2 linked regions of the Tamandua tetradactyla genome follow. The protein of the gene in region 1 binds, or shares a complex with, the protein of each later gene. Links are inferred from orthologs where the notes say so. Each region holds a gene or a part of one and is shown on either strand. Other genes may lie near its edges. The genes, in order: MKI67 and NIFK.

The links.
Region 2: the proteins of MKI67 (region 1) and NIFK are in contact, whole or in part, in an NMR structure (PDB 2AFF), measured with the Homo sapiens proteins. The link is inferred for Tamandua tetradactyla from reciprocal best matches to the Homo sapiens genes MKI67 and NIFK. Residues at the interface, in NP_002408.3 of Homo sapiens: Thr9, Ile10, Lys11, Arg12, Ser13, Pro18, His19, Phe20, Pro21, Ser23, Leu24, Arg31, Gly32, Ile33, Glu34, Cys35, Asp36, Ile37, Arg38, Ile39, Gln40, Leu41, Pro42, Val43, Val44, Ser45, Lys46, Thr66, Asn67, Ile91; in NP_115766.3 of Homo sapiens: Val228, Asp229, Ser230, Gln231, Gly232, Pro233, Thr234, Pro235, Val236, Cys237, Phe241, Leu242, Arg245, Gln248, Val249, Leu252, Asp256, Lys257, Asp259, Glu260, Ile261, Val262, Phe263, Lys264, Gln265, Pro266, Ile267.

What each region holds. Positions count from the first base shown.
Region 1 is NC_135339.1:90,697,885-90,705,356, reverse strand, and holds the start of MKI67 (proliferation marker protein Ki-67), read left to right. Parts: upstream 1-4,344; 5' UTR 4,345-4,457; intron 4,458-5,031; 5' UTR 5,032-5,128; coding exon 5,129-5,220; intron 5,221-7,472. UniProt on the Homo sapiens protein: Protein that associates with the surface of mitotic chromosomes and acts both as a chromosome repellent during early mitosis and chromosome attractant during late mitosis.
Region 2 is NC_135329.1:91,616,631-91,624,089, forward strand, and holds the start of NIFK (MKI67 FHA domain-interacting nucleolar phosphoprotein), read left to right. Parts: upstream 1-4,205; 5' UTR 4,206-4,276; coding exon 4,277-4,381; intron 4,382-5,400; coding exon 5,401-5,529; intron 5,530-7,459.

The sequences.
Region 1 (7,472 bases):
CCAATCTAAGGCATCCAGGGAAAGATACCTTCTTTCAAGAAGGCCGATGAAGTTCAGGGTTTCTCTCTCAAGTGAGAAGGCACATGGCGAACACAGTCAGAGTTTCTCTCTCATCTGGAAAGGCACATGGTGAACATGGTCAGGGTTCCTCTCTCAAGTGAGAAGGCACATGGCGAACCTGGCATCATCTGCTAGCTTCTTCTCCTGGCTTCCTGTTTCATGAAGCTCCCCCGGAGACACTTTCCTTTTTCATCTTCAAAGGTCACTGCCTGGTGGACTCTGCTTCTTGTGGCTACGTCGTTCTGCTCTGCTCTCTCCAAATCCTTTATTCTCCAAAATGTTTCCTCTTTTATAGGATTTCAGAGACTAATCAAGACCCACCCAAAAGGGTGGAGACATGTCTTCACCTAATCCAGTTTAACAGCCACTCTCGATTCCATCACATCTCCAGGGAGATGATCTAATTACAGTTTCAAACATACAATGCTGAATAGGGATTAGAAGAAATGGCTGCCTTTACAAAATGGGATTAGGATTAAATCATGGTTTTTCTAGGGGACACACATCTTTCAAATCAGCAGAGCTGGGCATTGCCGGGGACATGTTCGGGCTCCATCAGGACCACACCATGCTGGCCCACTTGGTCAGCCCCAGGGAGCAATCCTGGGCCACCCACTCCTTCCCCAGTCCCCCTGCGCCAGCCTTAACCTGAGATAGACAGGCCCTTTCACCCACTCTGCTGGGTAGCTTCTTAGTGCCCCATTCCCAGGCTATGACCTTCTGCACCCAGGGGGTTGGGCCATTGGAAATCACCTGTGGGCTGAGTCAGGTGGAGGTACTTAGTCCCCATAATGTCACCTGTGGGATGTGGTGGGTGGTCCTCCCCAGCAGTCAATTTCATTAACTCCCCACTTCACCCTTCAGGCCTGGGCTGGGGGTGGGGAGGGGCTTCTCACGCCAGGCCCCGCACAGTCCCTTGTGGGCGTCCTTCCCGCTGTGGCGGGCCGCTGTTCCCCCCGGGGCTGGCCGGTATGCCCACCTGGACCACACCCAGAAAGGAAGCCACCAGGCTGCCCCCACAGTCTCTGAAGAAAACAACAAAAAAGACAGGAGTGACTCTGGGGCAGGAAGGGATAACATGAGCCAAGGGCCTCAGAAAGATAAAAAGCAGTGTGTTCATCTAGGAAGTCTGTTATTTTGAAGAAACAAACTCATATGATTTTTAAAATCAGAGCTCAATTTAGTCTGTGCAATTTTTTGAGTTAATGAAAAAATTTTAAAAAGCACAGTAGGAAAATATTATGCACAATGTGAAAATTATGAACAAAACTGTATGCGTAAAGAAAACACCTCAAAATACTAAGGAATTTTATTCTGCTTTCCCCTGTTGCCTTCAAGGTGTGTCTTTCATTCTCACAGGTAAAGACAGCATAAATGTAAACGTAAAACTATATACATAAGCATGTTACTGAATGTTGAACCTCTCTCCATCCTTACAAAGCTCTCCCTGGACGGCCAGCTTCCTCTAGCAAGTGCCTCATTGACCTTCACAGCTAAACTCCCGGGAAGAAGTGTTCTCATTCCCCTCCCGTTCTCCCAGGAGTCCCCTCCAACCAGTTCCCACCATGCCACTTTCATGTCATGGTCACCAGTGGCCTCCAATTGACAAAGCCAAAGGTCGCGTCTCCGTCGCATGTCACCCAGCACCTCAGCAGCATGGCATTTTTTGTCCCTCCTACCTCTTCTCTGAAGCACAAGCTCTCCTGGTTTTCCTCCTGTCTCACTGGTTGCTCGTTCTCAGCCTCCTTTGCTGAATCCTGCTCTCTCCCTGCAGCCAGAGGGCACCCAGGCTCCAACCCTGAACCCTTTGCTTACTAGCACTCTAGTAAACCCATAACTCAATCCTGGGCCCATGAATTCCAGGCACATATATCCAACTGCTGGGGCTCAAACGCAAACTGAACTCATGATTATTTCACACTCAAATACATACACACACACACAAGACATGAAAAACACAACCGAAAACCCTCCCTAGGTTGACCCTTTGAGTAAACAAAACTGCCACCCACCCAGTTGCTCAAGCCAAAACTCTTGAGCAGTATCCCTGACTCCCCCCCCCCCCCCCCCCCCCCCCCCCGGCTCATTTGATTCCTCAGCAAATCCTGCCACTTCTCCTTTCACTTCAGATCCAACAACCCGCCCTTCTCACCACCCACCCTGGACTCCTGCAGGGGTCTCCCAATTGGTCTCTGCCTGCTTCTCACCTCTACCATCTGGTTTTTCTGCAAAAGGCAGAGGTACCTTTTACAATGTAATTCAGAGAGGTTATTTTTATAATCTTGGAATGGGCAGGCCTCTCCTAAGCAGGACACAATAACATTTAAGTATAACAATTTTTAAAGGACTATTAATTGAACCAAAAGCAAATGCCAACAGAGAAAGAAAATTACAGTACATGTGAGAGTTAATTTCCTTAAGAAAAACTTAAGTAAAAAGATAGACAAAAATAAGAGAAAATGGAAAATAGAACATATAAGTAAAACAAATATAGTGGATACTGCAGTCAGCAAATAATGCTTCTCCCATTCCCAAAACTGCCCACATCTATCCCAGGAATCTGTGACTGTGTTATGTCACATGGCAACAGCGAATTAAGGTTGCAGATAGAATTAAGTTTTAATCAGCTGACCTTGAGGGGAAACTCCAGCGGATCCCATGTGATCACGTGGGTCCTTGTAAGTGAAAGAGGAGAGAGAGTCAGCATGATTTAGGAGAAAGACCCGCAGCCCCAGGTTTTAGAGATGAGAGGCTTGCAGGAGCCCAGGAAAGCAACCGGAAATGCTGGACTCCCTTCTCGAGCCTCCATGAGACATGCAGCAGTCCACCTCGATTTTAGCCCAGTAAAGACTCGTTCAGACGTCTGACCTCCAGGACTGGAAGATAATAAATTCGTGTTCTTGTAAGGCTCTACATTGTGGTCATTAGTTTCAGCAGCTGCAGGAAACGAATACTGACACCAACATCTCATTCACCAAAAAAAAAAAGACGTGAAACCAAACAGCTCATCTTTTTTTTGTTCGTTTTTTTGCCTCTTAGATTGACATCAATTAAATAATAATGATCGTCATCAATATACTTGAGCTGGTCTGTAGGGAAAACAACACTCTGGCACCTTACTGGGGAAAGAAGATACTAGCTCAAACTTTTTAGAAAGAAGTTTGGTCATAAACGTAACAATTTTACATATGCATGTCTTCTGACCCAACAGATTTGTTGATAGGAGTTTGCCTTCCTGTATTCAGCAAAGCCTGCCAGCATGCACTGGTTTTTTTTAAAGGGGCTTTATGGAGATGTAACTGATGTACAATAAACTTCACATATTTAAAATGTGAAATCTGGTTAGGCTGAACACATCTGTGAAAACCATCCCTGCAATGAAAAGTGTGAACATATATATCCATTGCCCTCAAAAGTTTACTCAGCCCTCTTTATACTTCCCCCTCCTTTCTCTCCACCATCCCCTTTACCCCCAAAGGACTATAGATCTGCTTTGTTACGATAGACTAGTTTGCCTTTTCTACAGTTTTATATAAATGGGATCAGTCAGCATGGATTTGTTTTCCACTCGGCATAATTATTTTAAGATTCATCCAGTGGTCACGTAAGATTTTCTAATTGTAAAATTGTTTCTAGTAGCAAAGCTTTATAAACCGAAATAGCAATGGCACGATCAAGTAAATTAAGCAAATGGTGTGCAGGCGTCAAAATGAAAGTAGAAGCCGAGTTTATGCTGACAGGAGCTGACCTCAGGATTCATTAGCGGAGAACACTACAGAATAATGTGTATATGCTCTTTTGTGTAATGTTGAAAAAGAGACTACATGCTGGGAAAATACACAAGAATCTGCGGGAAATAACTGGTTCTCTTCCGGGAGAGGCAGGGACCGGCGAGGGAAGCTGGACTTCAACATTTTAGCCTTGTAGCAAGGAGGGGCGCCGCGTACGGGCCCTAAAAAAGACGAGGCAGGAAAGTTTATCTCCGCCCTGGGATCAGGCCCCACGTTCGGTGTTTTTAGGTTTTCCTCTACAGGACAAGAATACCACGTTCTCCCCGGACGCTCAACCCCAGGCGGTCGTGAGCATCGGGGTCGCGGGCCCCCCTCGAACTTGGGTTCCCCCACCTCGCCCGGTGCGCTCCTCCCGCCCTTCCGCGTCCCCATTGGCCGGCCCGCGGCCCGCGCCGCCCAATCACAGCGCTTAGCGCCGGAATTCGAATCGCTGTTTGGATTTGAACGACAGGAAGCGCGGCTCTCGGGGTAGTGGCGCGCGGGCGCGCGGAGGGATCCGGCCGCGGAGCCGGGGTGCGGCGCTTTGTGGCGCGAGCGGGCTGCGGCTGGGGCTCCGGGCGGACTCGGCGGTGACGGGCCCGGAGGAGCGGGCCGCGGTCGGTCTAGGTGAGCCGGCCCGGGGGCCTCGAGGCGGGGTTCGTGGCGCGGCGTCTCTGGTGCCATTGGCTCCTGGGTCCCGGGTGGGCCCCGGTGAAGGCGAGGGGCTCGGGCGCTCTCGGAGGGTGTTGACTGGGTGGGCGATGTGCGGGACGGGGCGACCCAGGGCGGTGCTGGGGGCGCCCTCGGGGGCCAGCGGGCGAGGCTCCCTGAGGGGTAGCAACGTGGGCGCGCACTCTGGGGCCGGTGGGCGAAGTCGCCTTTGACGGAGAGCCTGGGCCCACATTCGGGGCCTGGCGGGCGAGGAGCCTTTGGGGGACAGCCTGGGGCTGCGCTCGGGGGACAGCGTGGGGGCGAGGAGCGCGCTGCGGTGGATGGGGGAGGGCAGCGTGAGGGCATTCTCTGGAGGGACAGCCCGGGGGGGCGCCCTCGGGGGTAGGGGGTACAGCCTGGGGGCACCCTCGCGGGTTCGGGCAGCGGGGGCTTTGGTTAACATCCAGGGGCCTCTGATTTGTCTCTTAAAAAGTGACTTCTTAGCAAGCTTGCTTTGAGAGTAACCTTTCCCTCCTTTTGTTTTATTCAGTTTTTGCGGTGAAAGAGTTATTGGTAAATCGTTTTTTGACAAACCTTGTAAAACCTGACGCTCCTGTATGGACCGTGCTCTGCATATAGTTTAGAAAATGAGTCGTTTGTGCCACCTCGTTGTCATCAAAAGGAGCGGGATCGACGGTACCCATTTCCCGCTGCGGCGGGAAACCTGCTTATTTGGAAGGTGAGCTCGGTACTTCCTCTGTTCTTTTAATTTGGCAATTGTTTTTTACCAAATGAGATTTTGAAAATACATTAAGTGTTTTAATTTGGTGAAAGCCTTGAGATGGAGAAGGATAGAGGTTTTCACATTTGGTGCCCTTGACGCAGTCCTGAGAAGGCAGCTGGGTGGTGTGAAGCCCTGACTCGCTGCCCCTGGCTCTCGGGGCACACTTTGGGGTGGAGAAGGAAGGAGCCTCTGTTTGGCTCCTTGTTTTTTTTGGAAAAAAAATGAGCATGGGAAAGTCATGCTGCTTGTATTTTGATAAGTTTTCCTGTAAGGTTGCCTTTTTCTTTTGGTGGCGCTATTAACTGGATTTTCATGCTCAGCTTTCAATGACAGAATTGACAGAATTTCCATTGCTATATGATATCACACGAGTCTACATTTTAAAATTCCTCAGGTAAAGAACTTCTTTTTTTCCTTAAATGTGAAAAAGTAAAAGGTTGCCCTAGAACTGCAGTTTCTCATATCCCCACATCTGGATACAGCCATGTCCAGTCTGGTGGTTGTTGCGGTTAGCTGTCTTACAGACGTCTAAGGTTTTTGCTGTCTTTTAAGTAGGGTTATACTTAATGTCAGATTGTCTCTAAAATACATCTCGCATTTCTGCTTCTCTCAGATGGAACAGAAAGTAGGCATGCAGCCGCTAGTGCCACAGAGATTGGAAACTGCAGGGGGATAATTGTTTAACCTCTCTTCCCAAATCATCCCAGTTCCCAACTGGACCATCACAATAGCCTCTTCACTGCTTTTTCTTGCATCTTTTTCTTCTACAGTCTGTTCTTGGTACTGTAGCCAGTGCAGTTTTTAATTTTAATACGGTTTCCTTGTTGAGAACGGCTCTGAGGCTTCCATTAATGACCAAAATGCACAACACTTTGGAGGTAGTGTAGCTTAACTGTTAAGGGGTTGGGGTGGGGCCCCAGAAATCAGACTGCCAGAGTTAGACAGGGCAAGCTACTTCTCACCTCTTCATTTACCTCAACGTTTGTGAAGAAAGAGATAGTGCTGCCTAATTCGTTAGGTTATGAGGACTGAGAGAGCACGTTACCTAATAAGAATTATTGGTTTTGCAGCCTGTAAGTAGATGCCCATGTATCAGGGACAGTTTATCAGTTCATCAGGGACCATCGGAGTTTATGCCCATCCTATCGAACGGTCACCCTCCCGTGGAGCTCTGTGCTCTGGCCCCTGACTTCCTTCCCATCTTACCTGGTGCTCCCAGCCCATCCCCAGCCACAAGTCAGCATCTCCTTGGGCAAACCAGGCTCACGTTCAGCTTGGTGGTTTGGACAGTATGGACTTTATGCCTAGAATGTTCTCCCTCCCCACCTACGTGAGATTGCTTTCCCGCTTTCAGATAACAGTTTACATGTCGCTTCAGAGAAGCCTTTCGTGAGCACTTCTCTTCCTGCATAGCCACTTTACCAGTGATGAGTGCTTTTGGTCTCTCCCACTCAACAGAATTTCCCAAGGGTGAGGCCTGTCTTGTTAATAATTATGTATTCAGTGCTTGGTGTGGTATCTGGCATCTTGAGATGGTCACTGTTTAGCACTCTGTAAAGTGTTCAGTAGATTTGCATTTGGAATCAGCATGTAACAGTGGTTCTCTAGCAAGGGCAATGTGGGGCTCCGGGAAGCATTTTGCAAGGTCTGAAGACATTTTTCACTGTTGCAGTGGGGGAAGGTGTGCTACTGGGCATCAGGGAGTAGAGGCCAGGGATGCTGCTAAACCACATGGCGTGTGCAGGGCGGCTCCCACAACAAAGATACGTGTGGCCCCAAATGTCCACAGCCCGGAGTTTGAGAAATGGTTGAAAGAGAGTGATTGTTAGCCATTTCCTGCCAAACAAATTCTCAGTCTGTTTTTTGCTGGGATGGTTTTGTATCTAAAAACCAAATTCTGTTCTTTGACTAAAAGTAGCTGTTTACTTTCCATAGCTTCCATTCCCTTCTAAAGATAAAAAAAAAAAAAACCTGAACATTTCAGTCTCAAATGGAAGTAAGTTTAGTTACTATATAGCAATGATGAAATATATTTTTATGTAAGGTTTTGTAATTTAGAAGCCAATTCATAAGTGTCCATCGTATGACATGGATAGGAAGAGGTGTTCCTAGATTCCAAAGGTTTACATTAAGAACAGAGAATGTTATGAAGTATGTTCAGACTTTCAAAACTAAGGGATTGTAATCTAAATCTAAGCTTACTAATA
Region 2 (7,459 bases), on another chromosome or scaffold:
TTCCATTCAGAACTAATACAATCTGTTGTCTGCCCATGTCCCACTGGTCAAAGCAAATCACGCAACCTAAAGTCAGTGGGGCCAGGAGATAAGCTCCAGGAGGAATAAATGGGAACAAATAATATAATCAATATAGTGGGCCGTCCCACTCAATACATGCACAACAGCTGGGTGCTAAAGATCAGTAGCACCCCAAATCATGGTGAAAATTCCAGATGCCCTGAACATTTCCGAATGCTCCTAAGGGGCTTAATCACCACTACCCCCAGATGCCATTGAGAGTCCTTCTCAGTGCCTAGCAGACTCTCAGTAGATATTTGGTGAATGAATGAACTTTGCCAAATTGCTCTCCAGAGTAGTTGCAACAATTTACAAACTGCCTGGCCTTAGTTTAATGTCTTTTAAATATGAACAGTTCTATCAGGGCATAAAGGAATCTCATTTAACTTCTCCATGTATGCCTGGATGATTTTTCTTTTTTTTTTCCTTTTTTTTTTTTTCACATAAGCAGGCACCGGGAATCGAACCCGGGTCCTCAGGCATGGCAGGGAAGCATTCTTACCTGCTGAGCCACCGTGGCCTGCCCTGATTTTTCTTATATGCATTGAAATTTCTTTGGGGAGTTTTCTTACATTTTCTTTGCACATTTTCTATTAAAGTGTTCATCTTATTTATTTCGAATGACACTTGTTACATAACAACTAACATTTTCTCAGTTTGTTTTAGTTTGTTCAATCATTTTAAAAATAGACTATTTTTGTTGGTTTTTTTCCTGTTTTTAACTTATTTAAAAAGACGTTTTATTCATACACCATATAATCCATCCAAACTGTACCATCAGTGGCTCTCAGTATAATCACAGAGTTGCATTCATCACCACAATCAATTTTAGAACATTTTCACTCCTCCAAAAGGAAAAGTCCCGTATCTTTTTAGCTCCCTATTATTGATACTTAACCTTGGTGTGGTACCTTTGTTACAACTGATGAAATAATATTAAACTATTACTGTTAACTATAGTCCATAGTTTGCATTAGATTATTTTCCCCATAAACCTCCATATTATTAACACCTGAAATGCAGACATTTTTAATGTGACTTTATCCATTGAACGGACATACCATGCTTATCAACCCAGACCCTTGTCATAGGCCATTTCAGTTGTTTCCATTTCTTTCTCTTAAAAGTACCATTGTCACCAGGGTGTTTGTAAGTCTTTAGCAGGATTTCAGATCATTTCTGGTGATATGTTTAAAGTTCTTGACACATTTTGCCAAATCACTATCCAGACAGGTGGAACAAACTTCTACCCTTCTGCCCACCTGGGACTCTGTGAGCCAACTTGGCTATACAACCCCAACCTGAATGTTAACCCTGTAGACACTTGGGGCTACCTTAAACGTGAAACAATACCTCATTTTAGTAACCCAGAAGCCTACATATCAGTGCTGCACCTCTGTAAGGTTCCGTGAAGGGCAGGAGGGATGGAAACCCGAAGGAAGGAAGGAACAAACCCTTGCAGGCCTAACCCACCACGGGGTTGAGGCCTAGCAGCTGCTAATCTTACCATTAGTTGTGCTGGTGCTGCTAAAGAGCACAGTGTACCACAGTGTTATCATCTCATTCAAATTCTTCTTTTATAGACAAGGAAACTGAAGCCCAGAGACAACCTGGCCCAACAGGTTCACTCCCAACACCTGAGATAAGCCCAGGACCCATACTTTCCTTAGATACCATTTCAGGCTGTTCCCATTATAGTGATTGAAACCCCAAATCTCTACTCCTGTTGCACAAAGTGTGGTCCACAGAGCCTCAGCCTCACTGGGGAGCATGTTAGAGATAGATCCTGCAGCCCTAGCCCAGATCTGCTGGACCAGAACCTGCTTGTAACAATCCCCCCAGATAACCATGTGCTCACACTGTTAGGAAGTGCTGTGCTGTGAGATAGAGAGCAGGCGTGCCAGTTTTGGGGCATGACTCACCTAGGGGCCGCAGGCAAGGCCAGGAACCCATGGGAAGGTTGGGTGGGTTGGGGATTGGAGAGAGGATTTCCGGGAGAGAACTGTCGCTTGCTGTCTTCATTCCCTGCTCCTCTCCTCTCCCCAGGAGCTATGAGATCTGTCAAGAATCCATCCTGGGAATGAGGAGGGTGCCTGCCCCAACACATACACCAAAGGAGGGGCCTTCAGAGAACCAGGGAGCTTGGTCCACATCCTCTGGACTTTGGGGTCACAGGAACCAGGACCTGCCCAAAGTTGAGGCCCCCAGAACCACCCACAGCAGTGCAAGGTGGGAGTGAGGTGTCTCCCATTGACAGAGACAGCCCAAAGATGTGGCCCTTACTGAAGAACCAGGGCCGGGCAGTCTAGGAAGGCGCTGGACACAGAGTCCTTGGCAGACAGTAGGTCCTCGGCCCAGGCAGCCAGCAAGGGAAGCCTCTAAAGAGCTTGGAGAGAAAGAGCCAGAAATGGGGGATGGCCCCTGCCAGAGCCCCCAGAGCCCTGTGGTCCCCACCATCACATCACCCTTCCTGGCCCTCCCTCTGCTCTCTGCCCACCCCCCCCCCCACCCCCCCCACCCCCGCAAAGGCCCCAAACAGCAGCTGGGCACAGGAGAGAGGCTGAGCCAGGAAGATGATATGGACAGTGACACCTTGGGAGATTTCTCTGCTCCAGGCAGGCCATTGCTGGGAGAGGGGACCTTTGACCTTGGATTTGGAAAACCTGGAATATGCTTCTTTTCATAAATAACTGTGGGGGCATTGGAAAAGTGATGAGCTGGCCCCAAAATTTCATTCTGGGCGAGCAGAGAGAAGCCCAGGAGAAAGAGCAATCCTGAGGAAGAATCAGGCTGCTGCTAGCGGCCCTCCTGAACCTCCAGCCTGGGCAGGAAGATACTGGCAGGAGGGAGTATCCAGGAACAAGCTGCAGTCACGGCAGGAAAGGATGCTTCCTAGAGGGGTGACCCCCCCCAACTAAGCCCTGAGGGTGACCGGAGAGAGGAAGGCACGCCAGGCCAGAGGTGAGAGGTCCCCTCTCCCTGCACAGGCCCCCTAGTCCGCCCCCCACAGCCACACTGCCCACCTCCGCGGCGGACACGCACATCCCAGCGCCCAAAGGTCGTCCTCCCCAGTTCACACACACAGCCTTGCTGTCCCCCAGGCCACTCTGCCAGGGCTGTCGCTGTGGCCTCCGCTCCACTCTCCACCCTTACTAGGCAGGATTTGAACACTTTTTTAAGTCTGGACAGCCAGAGCCTGGCTTAAAGCCCTCACGTGCTCTAGCATTAACATAAAAACCCCAGCTCTGCCTCGGGACGCGCAGAGCCCAGGAACTCCAGGCAGCCCGCCTCTTTCCAAGTGTCCCACACGCAGGCCCCGTCCTGCCTACGCTTGTCCGCCCCTCACCCCCCACCCAGCCTGAGCTGTTTCCCCACCTGCGCGGTCCTTTCTGCCAGGCGCTGTTGTCCCTATGCCTGCGCTGCCCACCGTTTGCGCCGTCCCTTCTGCTGGCGCTTTCCCCCGCACCTGCGCTGTCCCCTCTGCCTGCTCTGACCTCCTGCCATCTGCACTGTCCCCTCTGCCTGCTCTGACCCCCTGCCATCTGCACTGTCCCCTCTGCCTGCGCTGACCCCCTGCCATCTGCACTGTCCCCTCTGCCTGCGCTGACCCCCTGCCATCTGCACTGTCCCCTCTACCTGCACAGAAACCCTGCCTGGACGTGGGTCCCTGCTCCTTACACTGGGCTTCCCGCCGCCTTAAGGTCTCAGTTTATTTGACCCCTGGGAGACCCTGCTTGGCCACCAAGTGTATCTCCTAGGAACTCTCAGGTCTGTCGCAGCCCGCAACCCACCCTCCAGAACGGCTTTAGCAACCCGGTTTTGCCTGCCCAGACCGTAAATACCCCAAGGATTAGTAGCCCAGGGACACGTAAGAGGGGCTCAGAAACCAAATGAGCGAAAGAAGAGAAGCATCAGTGACGGAATGGTGCCCAGCACTGAAGGGCACCGGTGTTGTTTGGGAGATTATTTTTAATTCCCCTTCGAAATTGGCGGGCAAAAAGTAGGCGTGATCCTCTGCCATTTTGAACGCAAGGAAGGTGTGAGAGCACCGCCAGGCGGTGCCGCACCGGCAGGGGGCGCCCGCGCTTGCCTTGGCCGGACCCTCGCACCGCGCCCCGCACCGCGCCCTGCAGCTTCCGCTTCCGCCTCGCGACAGCCACTGGCACCGTGCTTCCGGGAGCGCCGCGTGGAGTGTGTCGGCTGGTGTACTTCGGTCATGGCTGAAGTTTCTGGCCCGGCCAAGCCACTCCTGTCCCTGGACCCGCAGGCGCAGGCCAAATTTCAGAAGCAGGTGGCGCATGTCCGCCAGCGCGCGACCCAGGTGAGCGGTCCAGCAGCCGGGACTGTGTGGGGAGGCGTAGACTGGGGCCCTGCGCGGTGCCTGTCCGAGAGCGCCTGGCGCACCTCACACCTCGGTCCCCATCAGCGTCTCCCCGAGTGAGCGCCCGGCCGAGTCAGGGACCCACCTCGGGAGCTTGTAGGCCGAGGTTTCCACTTTCCCAAGACAAAGAGGTTTCAGCTCGCCCGGAAGTTGTGGTGGAGTTTGGGCGCGGAGGCCTTACGTGGACATAAGGGGCAGATATTGGGGAGACGCAAGGAGGAAAAAGAGCCAGTTTGTGGAAATGGCCATCCTTTACCGCAGATTAATTCGTAGTTAAAGCCGTTACGCTTCCGTTTTGTCCTCGAAAATGGGACCTCAGATATGCTTCACCGTTCAGAAGATTTATGTGCACAATTGTTGATTTTGAAGATGTTCAAAGACAATATTTGACACGTCCCTCTTGCTTACTAGGGCCCCTGGCATCAGGTTTATAATTTGATCTTCAGCATAAGGTACCACGTGTGGAAAAAATTGTTTGTGTAGAGAGTAATGGTACAGTGGCCGAGAGGCTGAGAGGTCCGCCTGCGTTGTGAACGTTAGCAAACTTCTCGTGGTTGCTTGGTTAGGTGTGAGTGGATAGTGAGCGCCGTAAAAAATTGAAGGGAGCAAAGCTTAGTACATTTGTGCGGAGTTCTTTTGGCAGTAAATTTAAAATGACATGTTGAAAGATTTATTTGCTCACCCAACGAGTTAACAAAGAGTTGAGCACATTGTGTTCAGTTTTGGGAAATAAGTCTGAGAAGGCAACTGTCTACTTGACGCCTCTACTGGGGAGATGGACGTTAACCAGCTAATTCTTCAATTACAGCTGTGATAAGTGGAAACATAGAGTAGGTTCTTGGCGTCTTTGATGAAGAATCTAAATCTCGGTTGAACCTGGAGCTGGGGGTTTTGCAAGTTTTGTTGCAATGTCACTGTTTTAATTTAAAATATATTTTGTTTACTTGGTCTATCTGTAGCAAGAAAAACTTACTCCCGGAGTAATCTATGTGGGCCACATACCTCGAGGCCTTTTCGAACCCCAGCTCCAGGCATATTTCTCCCAGTTTGGCACTGTCACAAGACTCAGGCTGTCCAGAAGTAAAAAGGTAAACATTTTTGTAGTTGAATTCGATTACTTTTGTTTTTCAAGTGTATATAATCCTTGACAGTTTACAGAGCATTTTCACTCATCATTGTTTATCAGACTTCCCACACAAAGGGTGATGGGAGCAGGGAATGGGGCTTAGATCCTGAAACAACCCACAGGAGCACAATCAGTATTGTTACGAATCATTTGTTTTATTGTTAAGAAAAAAAACTAACCAGTTTGCACCAAATCTTCAAATTAAATTGACAGTCCTGGTCAGTGAGCTATATCCTGTGGCTACTAACCCAAAGATACATGAACCTCACTTTGAAGAACCGGTTCATATATCATCTGGCATTAGCATCCTCGTAATAGCGAATGTTTGGTAGATTAATTAAGAGTGAAGGCTCTGGAGTCAGCCTTCCTGGGTTTGAAGCCTGCCTCTTCATCTTGCTAGTTGTGTGACCTTAGGCAAATTATATTTCTTTATGCTTTCATTTTCTGGTCTGTAAAATGTGAATAATAAAGCACTGACTTCCTAGAAGTATTTATTCAATAATTAAGAGAAGTAATAAATTAGAGCAATGCCAGACATACAATAATTACTATATAATGCTGTTAGGTTGAGTCTATCTCCTTAAGAAAAAGGTTTTTGTAGTTGATTTCAGTAATAGAGGAGTAACCCACTTTATTCTCTGCGCCCCTACCTCCCACTTCTGTTCGTGGTACCCAAACTCACCTCTTTGTTGGAATCCTGTTTTCTTAAAAATATTTTTTCCACATTATCCCACCTGAGTTATATTAGATAAAAGTTAAAATTTATATTTGCTTTGGCATATGAGGAAATAGAGTATTCATCGTACCACCTACTAGTTGTCATGAAACACAGATTAAAAAATTTATTTTGTCAAAACAGCATCTTAACAACATTGAAGAAATTTTTAAATGAAAAGTTTCCTGATATTTCCTCCATCCTAACAAAAAAAAACAGTTTTCCCTGAATTTCTTTTAACTTTTTAATATTTATCTACTTGTTACATTGTTGTTATGTGGGTGAGACATTTCAATGTTTCAGACATCCTGAAATGTCTAATAAGGAATAATTTAGTAACTTCACAGGTATCCCCCATTCAGTTTTATCAGATGTCAATATATCATACTTGCTTCAGATCTTTGTTCTTTAAGTAGTAGATTTATAGGTAGAGTTGAACCATTTGGAAGAATAAAAGATGGTTATAATCATTTATCCTTTGATACTTCATCATAAACTTCCTGGGAATAAGGACATTCTCCTACATACCCACAGTCATATATAAAAATACCATCCATCTTCACATTTTCCCAGTTGTCCCAGAAATGTCTTTATGACTAGAACTGTCTCCCTGCTTGATTTTGTTTTTCTTGACGTTGGCTTTTTTGAAGAGTTTAAGGCCAGTTGTCTTATAGAAAGTCCTTTCATTGAGGAGAGGTGCTAGAATTTACCGTCTCCAGCACTGTTGCATAGTAAAGTTAACCATCTTCCCCACACCACCTGAATTTTAAACTTTTTGCTTGAGCTGTCCACATTCTGGGATTACTGGGTAAAAGTATTAATACTTTTTTTGACACTTGAAAGTATTTTCAAATCACTTTAAAAATTTATAGTCGTAGTAGATTGAGTTGGAGCTCATAATCTCTTCCTGTCCTACATATTCTTATTGGAATTGAGATTGTAGAATGGGTCAAGTTATCATGACTAATAATTTTTGACTTTTATTGAATATTTAATAGACATCATGTTGAGCTCTTGTGGATTATTTCATATCTTCATAGCAAACCTATAATAGTAGTTATTTTATAGAGAGTGAAAAGCCGAGGCTCAGAGAACTTAAAGGTTACTCACTCAAGTAAGAGTCAGTTCCAGAATCTGGGCATTTGAGCTTCAGAACCCACACACTTCCCACTGAGGT